2 linked regions of the Drosophila melanogaster genome follow. The protein of the gene in region 2 interacts with the protein of the main gene of each other region in a pairwise test. Each region holds a gene or a part of one and is shown on either strand. Other genes may lie near its edges.

Region 1 (8,318 bases), on a different chromosome or scaffold from region 2:
ATGTACTGCGACTCCAGCGGCTTAGCGTCTCGAGTTCAAAGTCAGATAAACGAACTATGGAGATGCGTTTGCCGAGATATGCGCACCAAATTGCCACTGCGAAGGACGCATATTAATTTTTATGACCGTACAAAATGACGATTGCATAACCCGGAGCCAGAGCCAGAGCCAGAGCCAGAGCCAGAGCCCGGGCTCGAGCCTGAGCCAGGTGACTTCGACTTCCTAATGGCCGTATGATTTCTGCTGGAAAATCCTTGATTTTACAACCTCGTGACAAGTGACAAAAAAAAGGAAAACTGTCATAAAAATCAGCAGGTTATCACTCTCGGTTTCTGAGATGTGACTCCTAGTTGTTGTTGTTGCGTTTTCAAGGACACTTTTGGCATTAAAAAATAAGATTCTTTTGCGAATTTCTGGTGTTGCGGTGTTGTGAGTTTAGGTAGTTTGCTTTTCGGGAATTTCCCATAGTTTCGTGAGTTTTCATTCCGCTTCCTGCCGCTTTCGGAGAGCGTTTTGCGTTTTTGGTGTGCGATTGGTGTTTTTTAGTTTTCGAGTTTTGAGTTTTTGCGTTCCTTGTCGCGTATCTCTTGGCCATAAATCATTGTCACCCGCTTCGGCGCAATGTCACTGCGAGCGCTTCCCGCTGGGTTTCTGGCCCCCGACCCTGCACCCTCCGCGGTTCCCTGCACCTCACCCCGATTTTCGTCCCTGTTTTCCTACCACGAACCTATAAAAACAAGTATATATAAAACAGTTCGAGCCGCTGACTGCATTTGGGCTAAAAAATAAAATAGTAAGACTTTCTCCCATTTGTTCCCTTTTTTCCGTGGCCAAAACTAATTGCAGTCACTGCAAATTGCCGCCCAACAAAATTGGATTGAGTTTTAGTTGGCTTTGACCGCCGATTTTGTCCGATTTTCAGCAGTTACATCTATTTCTCTTTTTCAAGAATAACTTTTTTTCACAGTTGTAATGGAAGCCAGTGTATTTAAATTCCGAAAATATAAATATATTTTAAATAATTTATTTAATTTAAAACAGTTGACTGCTTCTCTTTTTTATAATGTTATTATTTGTATTTTATGGAAGTATGGAAGTAAATTGGATGTGTAAATTGTATATGTAAATGTGTCGCAAGAAACTTTTGTAATCTATATCAATAATGGATTGTTAAATAAAAGTAAAATTTAAGTAATAACGTAAGCACAGTCTTGATAAATACTTTTCAGAGAAAGCAATTAATGCCAAGTTTGTAGTCCCATTGGTAAAACGATAAACAAATTACACAAGGTTCATCATTTCCGGCGGCTTATCAAAGTTCAGTTCCCGAGGGCCTTAAAATGTTGTGGACCCGATGAAGTCGATAATATTTTTGGTGATTTGAAAATGAAAAAAAAAACGCTGTTTTTGCCGTTTCTGGTCCTTTGTTTGTCTAGAGACTTTATTGTGTGAAATTTAGGTTTTTATTTGAGCGGTTTTTGTTTTATTTAAATTTACTGAGCTTGCATATGATTAATTAACCGACTCATGTCGCCATCTATCAATGGGGGCTTAAATATAATTTTAATTTCAAAGGCAAGTCAAACAAGTTTTCTTTGTGGTGGTCGGCTGTTTTCGTTGAAGCTTTTTGTTGGATTCGTTTTATTAACAACAATTTCGTTTACTTTTGTTGCTAAGTTTTGGGCTTTCGGCCGAATCTCAGAGGTCGTGATTAATGTTTTTACAAAAGAGTTGTCGCCATTGGTGTGCTGATGTATAAATCTTTTTGCTGCTTTGCCATGAGTGTGAACTTGATTAAGAATCCGTTTAAAAGGAAGTGGTTGCTCATGTATAAGGGTCTAAATATGTTAGTAAAGAATTGTAGGACTTAAACAAAAATAGTCTAGGGAAATGTGCGTTTTCATACAAATTTTGAATATTTTCCCCCCATTTCTCCCAATTGCATCGGTGTTTTTTCTGTCTGTCACTCGGCCATAAATCATAAAAGTTTTTGCCGGGCAAACAGAACGGAGTTTATGATTTTGTCAGCTGTGTAACATTTCCAGCTGATAAAATCAATAAATTATGAGAAAATAATTTCATTTGATGCCATCTATTTGATTTTGCAAAAATCGAAGCTGGCAAAAATGCAAATGGAAATGTGTTAACGATAAGCAGGCTGAAAGTAAAAGCCAGGATAAGTTCATTAAAGCCCTTTTGGACAGATCGCTAGAGATACTTTCCAAATTATGGAACAGATTTTTAAATGTTTATTAAATTACGAATAAATTCCGCACCTCTGTGGGGCGCAAGTGCAATGAGAGAGCGGGAATGGAGAAAGAGAGAAAGGTAAAAGGTAGCGAGCGACAGACAGAGAGGACGACAAATATGCAAAGGCCAGACAACTAGGACAACAACAAAATCAGCAACAACAAGGACAATGCACTGCAACAATGGCCGCATAAATTTTCTATGCGGAGAACCCGAGAGTGTCCTGTTCGTCCAACTATGTGCGTGTGTGTGTGTGTGTGTATGAATGTGTTTGCGTGTGTGTCTGAGAGAGAAATGGCTGCCCTTTCCCACCATTCGGAAGTGAAACTATGTTGCCCAGGATATGCGCAATAATTCAAAAACGAATTCCAAGTTCAAAGAGCCCATTACTCGTGGCCAGTTAAGTTCGGAGCTCCGTTTTCAGTTTTCCAGCTTCAACTCCCGGGATTCCTGAAAGCATCCCACCACCCCTCCTCCCACTTTGCAAATTTATGCAAATGGCTAATAAGCCTGTCAACAGTTTGCAGTTTGCAGGCCAAATGAGTGATGACCTGGCTGTAGCTTCCGAAAAACGCCCTTTGAGTTATGAAGTGTTGAATCTGAGTTCGGGCAAAAAACTTATACCTTGCCCACTGCACATCGAGAAACAGATGCGCTATTCTTTGTACAGAGTCATTAATGTCAAAACTTCCACATATTTAGACAAGTATTTGGAAATGTATAAAGTTTCCGTCGGCATATACATAGACTGATATTCTAATCCATGTAAGCTTCATTGAAATGATTGATTTTATTCAAACATTTAATGGACAGCTAATAGTAACATAATATACTTATGTCAACCATTTTTTCAAAAATAATGTTAAGAGAACCTCACAATCATTTTTGTTTAAAAATTATATATAATTTTTAGTGACAATCGAATAATTCTTTGACGGTATGCATAGATGACATTACATTACATGTACAATTACCTTTGCAATTATTTAACAATATTGATTTTTTACTACAATTTAAAGTTAAGATTTTTTCTTCACTTTCAGTTACGATTATTATTAAATTGAATATTTGAAATAGTTTGGATAGGCAGAAATAACATAAAATTTGTAGTAAAATATAATTATAATCAATTTAAGCATTGTTTTCAAAACGCATTAACCATTTTTGTGAATAAAGACATTTTAATCCCAATTGGCCAATAAAAGAAACATATAACCATTTTGATTTCAGTGAAGAAGGTGAGGAAATTGAAAAGTCGAGCCCTGGCACTTACCTCTTAAATCCAATAACGTGCGCTTATCCTTCAATCCTGCTGGCTTTTGGAATTCTCAGCTAACGGTAGCTTGCACGTGCGCCAAAATAAAAAGTTTGCCCGCAGTGGAATCGAAACTTTTTCCGCTCCTTATTCTTTTCCGTTTTATGTATTTTGTTTTTTATTATTTATTTTTTTTTTGTGTTATTTTGGCTGTCTACGTTTTATTTCTGTTGAATTTGTTGTGGTTTGAGTTGAAAGCTTCAGCTTTTGTTTGTTGCTAGTGTGTAGATATTGCTCGATTTACGGGGGACTAGAAAACGTTGTTGTACAGATTCGAGTTTTCGGTGCACGATGCGTTTTTAAGAATAGATAAACACTTAGGTAGTAGGATTTGGCTTGATAAATTTGAACTCTAGCTCATTTGCAGCACAGTCAGCCCAGATCCATTAGTAGTATTGCACAATATGTGGATGAATTTTAATTTGAATCCAGACACCTGCCAGACACTCGAACATCATAAAAAGAAACGCGCGCGAAGTTCAATTCCAATTTCTCTGACGGTGTTTTTGTTTGCTGTTTATGCGATGGCGCCTGCGATTACAATTACGATTACGGTTACGATTACGGTTATTATTATAATAATGGGTTTATGACGATCTGCGCCATGCGATGGACAGTGTGCGACTGATTGCGGTTCTAATTTTTTACGATTATTGTTATGATTATTTTTACGGCCTTTATGATCTTAGCGGGCTGACAATTGGGATAAGAGAGCGGTCGCGACGACGGAGAGCGAGCGAATACGAATGCGAATAGTTCAGTTCAGTTTAGTTCAGTTCAGTTCAGCTCCGAGAGCCCAGCCCCAAGATATTGGCCGCTATAGCGACTACGGAATACGGGGCACCGAATACCGTTATGCTGCTGGGATCCCTCTCGCACACACACACATACAGTCGCACGTGGGCTAAGTCAACGGAACACGGACGGGTCCTCGAGTGCTTTGTTGTGTGATGTTGATTTCTTTACGACTCCTATCAAACTAAACCCATAAAGCATTCAATTCAAAGCATATACATGTGAAAATCCCAGCGAGAACTCCTTATTAATCCAGCGCAGTCGGCGGCGGCGGCGCGCAGTCAGCGGTGGCAGCGCAGTATATAAATAAAGTCTTATAAGAAACTCGTGAGCGAAAGAGAGCGTTTTATTTATGTGCGTCAGCGTCGGCCGCAACAGCGCCGTCAGCACTGGCAGCGACTGCGACCGCGACAGAGGTCCGATTCTGCTTCTGCTCCGGTCATAAAGTATTTTGCAAAAGAACCGTTCTGCTCTCGTTGCCATTTTGAGTGACTGAGAGAGCTGAGCGAGTGGGAGCAGCGAATTGGCGCCTGACTTGAGTTGACCGGCTTGAGTTGCCGGCCCGAGCTCGCTGAGCTGCAAACTGTAGTCAGTCTTCAAAAGAAGATCTTATGATGCACATCCAGTTATTTTCGATTATTCAGTTCCCAGATTTATTTTGGTTGGTATATTTGATTTCACTTTTTTATTAGGTTTTTAAGAAATTTGTTTCATTCATTTTGGTTTATTAAATACAATTTTTTGCAAGGTTCAATTTTAAGTTTCTTTCTCTTAAGTGCTCTTTTCAGTTTCTCTAAAATCGAAACTATTTAAAATTCGATTGTCTGGGCATTATCGAGTAGTTTCTACTTTTATTTCGAAGAGCGATTACTATATCTTTATAACTTAATATCTTTATACCTTTTTAACCATTCTTCTGGACTATATGGTCAATCAATTCATTTGCTTTTAATTTCTTAAAATAGCGTAACGATGTGAAAGATGTGTACATCTTCAGTTTACTTGTTTTTAAATTTTTGCGGTCAAATCTACCATTTTGTGGGAGACCACCTTCTATAAAATCAATTAAAATAATTGTACAATTTACAAATACGGTTCTCTAAAGGCCTTGTGTTGACTTTTTAGTTTTTAAAGTATCAATCCGTCGATTACTTCAGACTGAATCATTAATTTACAAACTCATTTATTTATTTATTTTACCAGTGAAAATAATCTAAAATAGGGTTTTGCAATGGAAAGGTCGAAAGTTTCTGTTTGCCTATTATGTAAAATAATTGTAAATTGTTATGCTGCTTAAGTACTTATAAGAGTAAAAAACGTTTTTGATTTCGATTGTCTCGATTTTTTATCTTTTTTAGATGTTCTTAATTAACGCTTATAGATATGGTATATAAACGTATAAACGTATCTTTTAATAATTATTTTTGTAAATATACCACAACCATACATAATTAACAGTTTTGTATAGCAAATGTGATTTGCCCGATGAAGTCATATCTAGACGTTTTGATATCTCATTATCGGCTAACATTCGATAATCGGGAGAATGATGGCCGCCGTGAATTATGGAACCCGGAATACGGTACTTGGAACCGGGGAGTATGGCATCCAAACATCCACTTGCCGACGGCAAAACCATCATGGCCGAGTTTATATCGAAGCGCGCCAACAACAAATCACATGCACGCACACATGCAGGCCATCACTCACACGCACACAATCACAATTCAGCATCGCTCTCACTCTCTCTCTTTCTCCTACGCTCTCGCTCTCCCACAGCTGTTGTGGAGCGGAAAAAGAACAACAACACAAGTTGGCCGAATTTTTGCAGCCGCTGCTTCTGCTTGCGGCGCTGCCAGCGTCGTAAACAGGGAGGAGTCCGCCACAGACGCACACTCATAAAGCATTCTCAGAGACCGCACACACACAAGCGCGGCACACAAACGCACAAGATGGATGGCGGCGCAGGCAGAGAGCGAGAGTGCGAGCGAGAGGGGCAGACGCGGGTGCGAGCGAGACGGCCAGATGCGGCCGCGTTAAGTGTGACGAATGTGCCATTATTTTGCTTTATGTGTGTCGTGAGCGCGCCGCACTGCTCTTTTTTCAATTGCCATTTCTCACATAAATTTACGCAGTCGTCGGCTGCTCTGCTGACGGCGCTGCCAGTGAGCTCCAGTTGAGAATTTTTGCCTTTCTGAGTGCGGAGAATTCTCTTGGTGGAACAGTGGTGCTGAAAATTCCAGTTGGAACTGCAAGTTCGCCAGCGGCAAAAATTCTACCGGATGTTAATGCAATTTTTGAAATGTCGTACTTGCTTGGAGTCTCCATTATGGGTGTTTTATGGCGTTCTTTGGTATATTCAAATATATTTTTACTGAAACAAAAAATTTAAAATGTAGTCATCACCTAATTGAATTTTAATGGGGTTCCAATTATATGAGTTTATCAAAGCAAATTAAGCTGTTTTCATAACGCTATTTAATAATAATCACATCAGAAAAGCATTCAGACTTAAACTTGTTAAAGAAGGCTTCATGAAAATCTCATATTGCATAATTATTTAATAATGTGAAATTAACATAATGTATTTTTGTATAATAGTTACCATTACTCGTAGAGTAAAAGGGTAGACTAGATTCGTTGAAACGTATGAACCAGGTATAGGGAAGCGTTTCCGACCATAACAAATTGACGATCACTTTCTGAGCCGAGCTGACCATGTCCCTCTGTCTATTCAACTGTCCATATCTGTCCGTATGAACATCGTGATTTCGGTAACTAAAAAATCTATAAAGTTAAGATTTAGTATGCGGATTCATGAACATTTAAGAAATAATTTTTATTAATTTTCTCACAAACCTCCAAAAACATTAAAATATTTGACAATAAAACCTGTCTATATACACTTTTAAATTATGTATTCAATATTTATACGTATTTACATAAATAAAATTACTTTGTGAACGTACCTTTGATATATCAAAGTTAAGCCGAACCCCAAAAAATTTTACACTCAATTATGTAGCGGCAATAAATATCATGAAAACGGATGAATCGGTTTTAAAAGCATACTTGGCGCCCCACTCCGGACACCACCCATTCCAATTGGGATGGGCAACAGTCCCGCTTTAGCTCCTGCCCTCCCCACAGAAAGAAAGGTCCCATGGATGCTGTCCGTACGCATCGCTGCTCTTTGACAACTGTGCGACTCTAAATCATTCAATTCGGGTCCAGGATCAGGCCCAAAACCAGACCCGGTCTCAGCTGGAATCGAGTGCCTCCTTGCATTTGGGTCCTTTTTCCGTCCCCGTGGGTCGGCGTCGTGTTTGTGTGTGGCGTTCACCTTGGGAAATATTTTCACATGCCGCCGCCACAGACAACTCGCCCCCAAGCCTGCGTTTCCGCTCCAGCAAACTGAGCCAAGAACCTATCGAATAGGATATACCATGTACCTACAAAGACCATCTTTATTATTTCATTTTACAACCATTATAAGTTCATTTAAAAAAGAAATTTAGAAATACTCTGAGAAAGCAAATTAATTTTCAGTTACCCTATATTTTTTTCTTCATATGACCCAGGCAACTGTGTATTCTTTTAAAAAATTCCGTTTTTGATTATTATCAAAATAATGGAATAAGGAACATTTATATTTCTTTCTATATAAATAAATTCTTCTCAATACTCGCTAATATCAATTATAAATAAAAACATTTTCTGTGTAGTTACAATACCCCAGTGCTAAGCTACCTTTGAACAACCCTTTTAAGGGGTACACTCCCCTTCAGCAACAACTGGCGGAGCACAGCGCGCGTGCCGTTCAGCTGGATGAAAGACCTCAAAAACCAGGTCCCAGATACCTTCCGATATCTCCTCCGCCCTGTTCCCGGTTCCTGGTCCTCGCCCTCCAGCAATTCCAGCAAATAAGTCAACCTGTGCCGGCAACAACAAGAGCGGT
Region 2 (7,149 bases):
ATTTGAAAAGTCCGTAATTTTAAATCAAAAACTAGAAAAATGTAGGTAAAATATTTTTTAACGGTTTCTTTTATTTTCGTTAAGCTAAATAAACTTTTAAATTTTCATAATCTATAAATTAATTTGAAATTACAATTAGCATGACGTATAGCATCCGATAATTAGCCTCTAGCTGCTGACAAGGGATTTTCAATCATCTTCATCTTCAAGTCCGGGTTCAGGACATAGTCGACATCTGCTCTCATTTACGCCGTAATTCATGCAAAGTTCTCCCACGCACTCGCAACATCCGTCATGAAACCACCTGTAGCTGGTGGCTCCGGTTTTCAGGCAGGTCTGTCGACACTTATTCCAGGATGTGCACTGATCCAGATACAAAACGGTGCAATTTAGACCAGATCCTGGTTTTCCATTCGTTGAAAACGAGACCACGCTCCAATTGTATGTGTATCCATCGTTTGGAGATGAGGACATGGCCCTGAACAAGGCTGGCATTCCTTCGAATTCCTCGGTGTGCGATTTCTTTCGCATTTGTGCCATGTTAGCGAGGCCTAACTCTCCAAAGGATAGCAAAATGTAGATAGTCAGAAGTGTTTTCATATTGATTTGGAATATGCAACTGAAGTGTTGGCGCACTTACAAACGGTTTTTAAATAAGAATATAGTACAGGTAGTAGGTGGTATAATGTTTCAGGTAGAAAATCACTCACCAGCTGCCACTAAGGGCTTTATCTATTTTTATAACTATTACCTAAATGCCCGCAATGGCCCTTTTTGCTGACTTATTATTGGAAATTAATACTTTAATCCATGCAACGCAGTTGGGATCTTTAACATTCCGAGCTGTTAGAAATTACTTTATGAAATATGGATTTTTAAATGTATTTTATGCGGTTATAGTGTAAGAACCAGTTCAATCAAAGGAACCACAGCGTACACAGCCATCGAAACAGTTTAGACGTATATCGATCAGTTCACATCTCTATCTTGTCTGTATACGGCTGTGTGTCAAAGCGGCAAAAGCGAGAAAAGTCGAAGTGCAAATAATTTTAACGGAGCGGAAAAAATATAGATAAATCAGAACCATGTCGGACTATAGATCGCAATCGCGCAGTGGCGGGGGACGTGGCGGTCAGGAGTACTCGAACGACGACGATCCGCCGATGTCGCGTCTCTTCATCATTTGCAACAAGGCGCACACCGAGGAGGATTTCCGTGAAGCCTTCTCGCCATACGGCGAAATCGAGGATATCTGGGTGGTGAAGGACAAGCACACCCAGGAGAACAAGGGAATCGCGTACGTCAAGTTCTCCAAGACATCCGATGCTGCCAAGGCACAGGAGGAGATGAACGGCAAGACCATTGGCAAGATGGATCGCACCCTTAAAGTCCTGGTGGCAGCCAAGTAAGATTAGCTTCGAGAGTACTGGCCCAAAACCATGGTCTAACTCTTATCCTCCTCTTCCAGTCGCAATCAGGGCTCAAATAAGTCTGAGAACGAGCAGGAGAAGTACGTGAGACTCTTCATAGTGATCCCCAAAACAGCCACCGAGGAGGATATTCGCGAGGAATTCTCGCAGTGGGGCGATGTGGAATCTGTCACAATTGTCAAGGAGAAGAACAATGGCAATCCCAAGGGCTTCGGATATGTCCGCTTTACCAAGTGCGTGGCGAATGTAGCATTGCTAATTGTCCTAGCCATAACTAATCTAATCTCAATGCACAGGTTTTACTATGCAGCTGTGGCTTTCGAAAACTGCTCCGCCAAGTATAAAGCTGTCTTTGCCGAGCCAAAGGGTTCTACACGCACACAGCGTGACCAGTACGGCCGTCCCTCCGAGGACAATCCCTTGTATAGCAGCTCGGGACGTGGCAATTCCAATTTCAATGGAGGCGGTAGCAGCAGCGGTGGCGGCGGCAGCAACAGCTACAACAACGACTGGAATGTATCGCAGAACAACGACATGGCGGCCTTCCTGCGCATGCAGAATGTGCCAGTGGCCCAGCCATCCTGTCTGGAGGTTAACGTGAGCAACTGCGTCAACCAGGATCAGCTCTGGCGTCTCTTCGACATAATTCCCGGCTTGGATTACTGCCAAATCATGCGCGAACGTAAGTGACCAACCCAGTGTGGGTTTCAAACCCCTTTTGAACTACTTATATCTCCGTTGTAGATGGACCGCGCACCAATGAGGCCTTAGTGGTGTACGACAACCCAGAAGCCGCCATTTATGCCAAGTAAACAAAGCCCTAAAACTCATTTTCATGCAGGCTTTAAAACACTATTCTTCTTTAGGGACAAACTTCATGGCCTGGAGTACCCAATGGGCGAACGCATCATTGTCAAAGTCAATGGAATGAGCTCAGCTCGCATGGACACATCCTTCATAGACAGTACGCGAGTTAAACCTATCAAGGGCTACAGGCCGCGCCATCACCTGTAGCCATTTATTAAACGCTTTTGCTTGGTTTATTTCTTAGCACATTTTTGGCTTAAAATGCATGATATTTCCTATTTCTAGACTTAATGTGGTTTTTTATTTTAGAGCGAACCAAAAAGGATGCCATCTGCAATGTTCCCTTGCCCCCAACTCAGCCACTGGCATCGCCGGACGACCAGGTGGCCCAACGACTGTTCATTGTGCTCTCAGCGGTAGGTATCACTGTACCGTGTCCAATTACCATTAGCTATAAACGTTGTTTCTTTCCCATCTACTCAGAACTTGCCGCATTCGATATTGAAGAACATATTCTCTTGCTGGTCGGGACTGATCGACGTCTACCTTCTGCCCAACAAGAACTGTGGCTACGTCAAGTATGCGGAGGTTGAGAGTGCTCAATTGGCCATTCGTACCCTAAACGGAGCCGAAATTTGCGGCACCAAAATCAAGGTTTGTACCGTGTACTCATGTTCTGTTGCTGACAAGCAAGCAATTCTAATCAATTTTAAATTTTTATCTTACTTTAGGTCATGGAGGCTGAGGAGCGAAGTGGCTCCGACGGCGATGATGGCGGTCGCAAGCGATTGAGACGGAACTGAGTGTAAGTAGCTAGTTGAGTATGCATAAATTCCGTATCTATTAATGTAGCCATAATTGAACTGAGTGTGTGCCGTGGTACGAGGTAAGTAGCTGTGCAAATTCCAAACCGAAAACCTTTTAGCGATTTAAGACAATGTGCGCCTGCTGCACTTGCCCTGTGCACCGGTTGGCCATCGATGTCCACGATACCCATGCCGCCCACTGAGCGCGAACATAATAAGCCAAACCATTTTTATCTTTCTATCTCCACAGACCCACTGACAACCAAGAACTTACAGAGAACGCAATGTACGAAAACGTAACTAACTTGAGCATACAGTCCGATAAAAACAGTTGAACTGACCACCAACCACCAAACAACGCAACAACCAACCAATAACCAAACAAGAACCACCACCACAACAACACTCTCCGTACGGAATGCCACATGAACCAGAACCACGGGGACTGGAGAACGCAGACTGGAAACGGAAACTGCGAACGAAGACCATACCCGGGTGAACAAACCAAACAGGCCAACGAAATCACCACACCCGTTGACTACTCTCTACCAATTGACTAACTCAAGTGGGTCTCGTACAGAGCACTCGTAGAAAGACCCATAACCCATACGACCTTTAAACGGAGCCAACGAAACCGCAATGCTCTTGCTATATACACAATATATGCATAGTGTCGTATATATGTGTACTCATACCGCTTAGGGGACTTTTGAATCTACCCGTGATACAGAAACGAACTCTCTGTGTAACTTGAACTCTTACAAACTTATTCCGACGAGATTCAGCCAAGCAATAAATTCAAACGCAATGAATTTCTTAAGAGTATCAACTCTGTCTCGTAAATTCACGCTAAGCCACAGCGTGAAAAATTATTCTTTTCATATATTAGATTTAAATAAACGATATTCTACTGTATAAGGCCAACAATAAATACACTTAAATGGAATAATGTTTTTTTTTTCTTTGGAAGCGAAATGGGAAACAAATTAATTCTCGCTATGCAGATTTTCCATATATATATAATAAATTTTTTTTTAAAAGCGAATGGACTTTTTGAAAGGTCGTTAAATGAACCAGTTCCGAAATGTACAACTTCAGTGTCGCAGCCCTGGTAAGTTCCGGTTCCACGGACAGCTGAGCAGGCATTGTTTAGATTTTGTAAATTGTTGATTTCTCGCAGCAGAAAGTTTTTTTTCGTAGAGCTAAATAATAAAAAAAAACATTCGAAATGGATCCAGCACTGCTTCGCGAACGCGAGGCCTTCAAAAAGCGGGCGATGGCCACGCCCACGTGAGTACCGCACTTGTGGCCCCTCTGATAAAGATTGCTTCTCGAAAATTACATGCTATCCTTTTAAAATAGCGTGGAAAAGAAGTCCAAGCCCGATAGACCAGCTCCACCGCCGCCTAGCGATGATTCCAGGCGCAAAATGCGCCCGCCCAATGCTCCCAGGCTGGATGCCACAACGTAAGTTCCTTGAGAGCCTCTGCTACTGCCAGAAATGGTTCTTAACCATGTGGAACTCTTGCATTCCATACTTAGATACAAGACCATGTCCGGCAGTTCCCAGTACCGCTTTGGAGTGCTGGCCAAGATTGTGAAATTCATGCGCACACGTCACCAGGACGGCGACGACCATCCCCTGACCATCGATGAGATTCTGGACGAGACCAACCAGCTGGACATTGGGCAATCCGTTAAGAATGTTAGCTACAGTGCGTGATAAGTTGTGGCAGGTTATTAAACCATTATTCCTCTATTTTAGTGGCTTGCTAGCGAGGCTCTGCACAACAATCCCAAGGTGGAAGCCAGTCCATGTGGCACCAAGTTCAGTTTCAAGCCAGTCTACAAGATCAAGGATGGCAAAACGCTGATGCGTCTGCTCAAGCAACATGATTTAAAGGGCCTGGGCGGCATTTTGCTGGACGATGTCCAGGAATCTCTACCACACTGCGAAAAGGTGCTGAAGAACCGATCAGCCGAAATACTTTTTGTTGTTAGACCCATTGACAAAAAGAAGATTTTATTTTACAATGACAGGACTGCTAATTTTTCGGTGGGTTATAAACACACTCTTCTAAAATCCCAGCCTAATCAATTGTACCGTCTCAGGTGGACGACGAGTTCCAGAAGCTATGGCGCTCGGCTACGGTCGATGCAATGGACGACGCCAAGATTGACGAGTACCTCGAGAAGCAGGGCATTCGCTCCATGCAGGACCATGGCCTCAAGAAAGCAATTCCCAAGCGCAAGAAGGCGGCCAACAAGAAGCGGCAGTTCAAGAAGCCCAGAGACAACGAACATTTGGCCGACGTTCTGGAGGTCTACGAGGATAACACACTAACGCTGAAGGGTGTGAACCCAACGTAGAATAGAGACATTAGATTATACAAATAAAAACCACTCTCAATGGAATTAAGTACACTCGAAACTGGATGTTATAAATTTGTTTAACCACTGCCAATCTAATTAAGAATCCGCTGTGGCCGAAATCTCATTCCTCAAGATTTATAGTACCAGATTGCTGTTCTGCCTGTGGCATTGAACTTAAAAATATGACGACCGGCACAGGGAAAGATAATTAAAAAGCAAAACTATGTAATCTTTTCCTGACATTCCCCATTGCTTTCCACACCTGATGGCTGGTGGTGTGCGTGTACGAGGGCCAGAATCGATGCTGGTGGGCAGTTAAATTGGCAACAGAGGGAAGCCGTAGCTTTAGTCTGCACTGAACAGCAGCCAAGTTCAGTTGGAATCGATTTGGAATAACCTATATTTTGGTACGGCGGTTGTGCGGGCTTATCAGGAAAATTATCTATATATTGGACTCTACAAATCTAAAAAAAGATTGTGTTGCTATTTGTAATCTATTAAGATTATAACAAGAGATCCGATATTCAGTATAGACAAAAATATAGCTCATACGACTCGTAAATCAGTCATATTGCAAACTATCGTTCGTCCTCTAACTTGTTCAATTTAAAAGATAGGGTATTCATAAGTGGACTTGCATGAAATCCGATTCTTTGTTTACTTGGCTTGACTCTTTGGCACGGACAATGAGCTCTCTACTCGGCGGCAAAAACTTGTTTTGAAATACTCAATTTGTTTAATTATCATTCCCGAAGCATTCGCCAGTTGGTTTTGAGAGTTTCTGTGCTGAGGTTGACGAAATGAAGTCGACGCGGACTGCACTTGGAGTGGCCCTGCTCCTGGCCCTGGTGTCTCAACTGGCGGCCCACAGCTCGGAGTGAGTAAATCAAACCTCGTATGCTATATAGATTAGGTCACTGACTTTCTCTTTGACTTGATTCCCGCATCCAGTGACTTGGTTTACGGCTACGAGTGCCGCAGTGGCTACTGCCAGAAGGTAGAGCTCAGCGAGGAGAACTACGTCAAGGCCATCAGTCTGCCCGTGTGCCGGCTCTTCTGCGGCAGCTCCATCGGCACCTTGTGGCCCAAACCGACGGGCACTGTGCGTCTGGACACGTTGATGCGCCAAGTGGACATCTCCTTCATTGATTTCAATTTCAATGGAATTGCCCGCCAGCAGAAGCTATGGCGAGCGGTTGAAGACCGTTTCATGAACATGCTCGAAGCCCAGATTCCGGATCGCAAGGTTCTGGCACGAGGTGGCTACCGTATGTCTGTGAACATCAATACTCCGGATGAGCCGACACCGGCCAGACTCACCCTGGATACGGATGAGAGCTATACGCTGGACATTGATACGGATGCCTCGGGTCATGTGCTGGCCAACATAACCGCGTCCAACTTCTTTGGAGCCCGTCATGGCCTGGAGACACTAGCCCAGTTGATTGTCTACGATGACATCCGCCGCGAGGTTCAGGTGACTGCCAATGCCACCATCAACGATGCTCCCGTGTACAAATGGCGTGGATTGCTCCTGGACACCTCCCGTAACTACTACTCTGTGAAGTCCATCAAGAGGACGTTGGGTAAGGCAATGGTTCAGGAAAGAGGCAGGGGAGGGTTATGTTTTCCGTTGACTCTATGAGTATCCTTTTTTCCTCCTTAGAGGGCATGGCCTTGGTCAAACTGAACACCTTCCACTGGCACATCACGGACTCGCACAGCTTCCCATT

The links. The genes of interacting proteins can lie anywhere in the genome.
Region 1: the proteins of TfIIEbeta (region 2) and Antp interact in a protein complementation assay, tested with the Drosophila melanogaster proteins (one study listed by BioGRID).

The regions. Positions count from the first base shown.
Region 1 is NT_033777.3:6,994,683-7,003,000, forward strand, and holds the start of Antp (antennapedia), read right to left. Parts: upstream 4,547-8,318; 5' UTR 3,524-4,546; intron 1-3,523. UniProt on the Drosophila melanogaster protein: Sequence-specific transcription factor which is part of a developmental regulatory system that regulates segmental identity in the mesothorax. Provides cells with specific positional identities on the anterior-posterior axis.
Region 2 is NT_037436.4:4,282,879-4,290,027, forward strand, and holds TfIIEbeta (transcription factor IIEbeta), read left to right. Parts: upstream 1-4,159; 5' UTR 4,160-4,271; coding exon 4,272-4,333; exon of another isoform or gene 4,334-4,405; coding exon 4,406-4,510; intron 4,511-4,585; coding exon 4,586-4,748; intron 4,749-4,808; coding exon 4,809-5,099; intron 5,100-5,155; coding exon 5,156-5,413; 3' UTR 5,414-5,471; downstream 5,472-7,149. Other genes in the region: srw (shrew), read right to left, coding at 190-600; CG1316 (uncharacterized protein), read left to right, coding at 1,086-1,405, 1,469-1,663, 1,727-2,112, 2,175-2,238, 2,297-2,394, 2,547-2,653, 2,721-2,891, 2,969-3,040; Hexo1 (hexosaminidase 1), read left to right, coding at 6,217-6,293, 6,368-7,002, 7,083-7,149.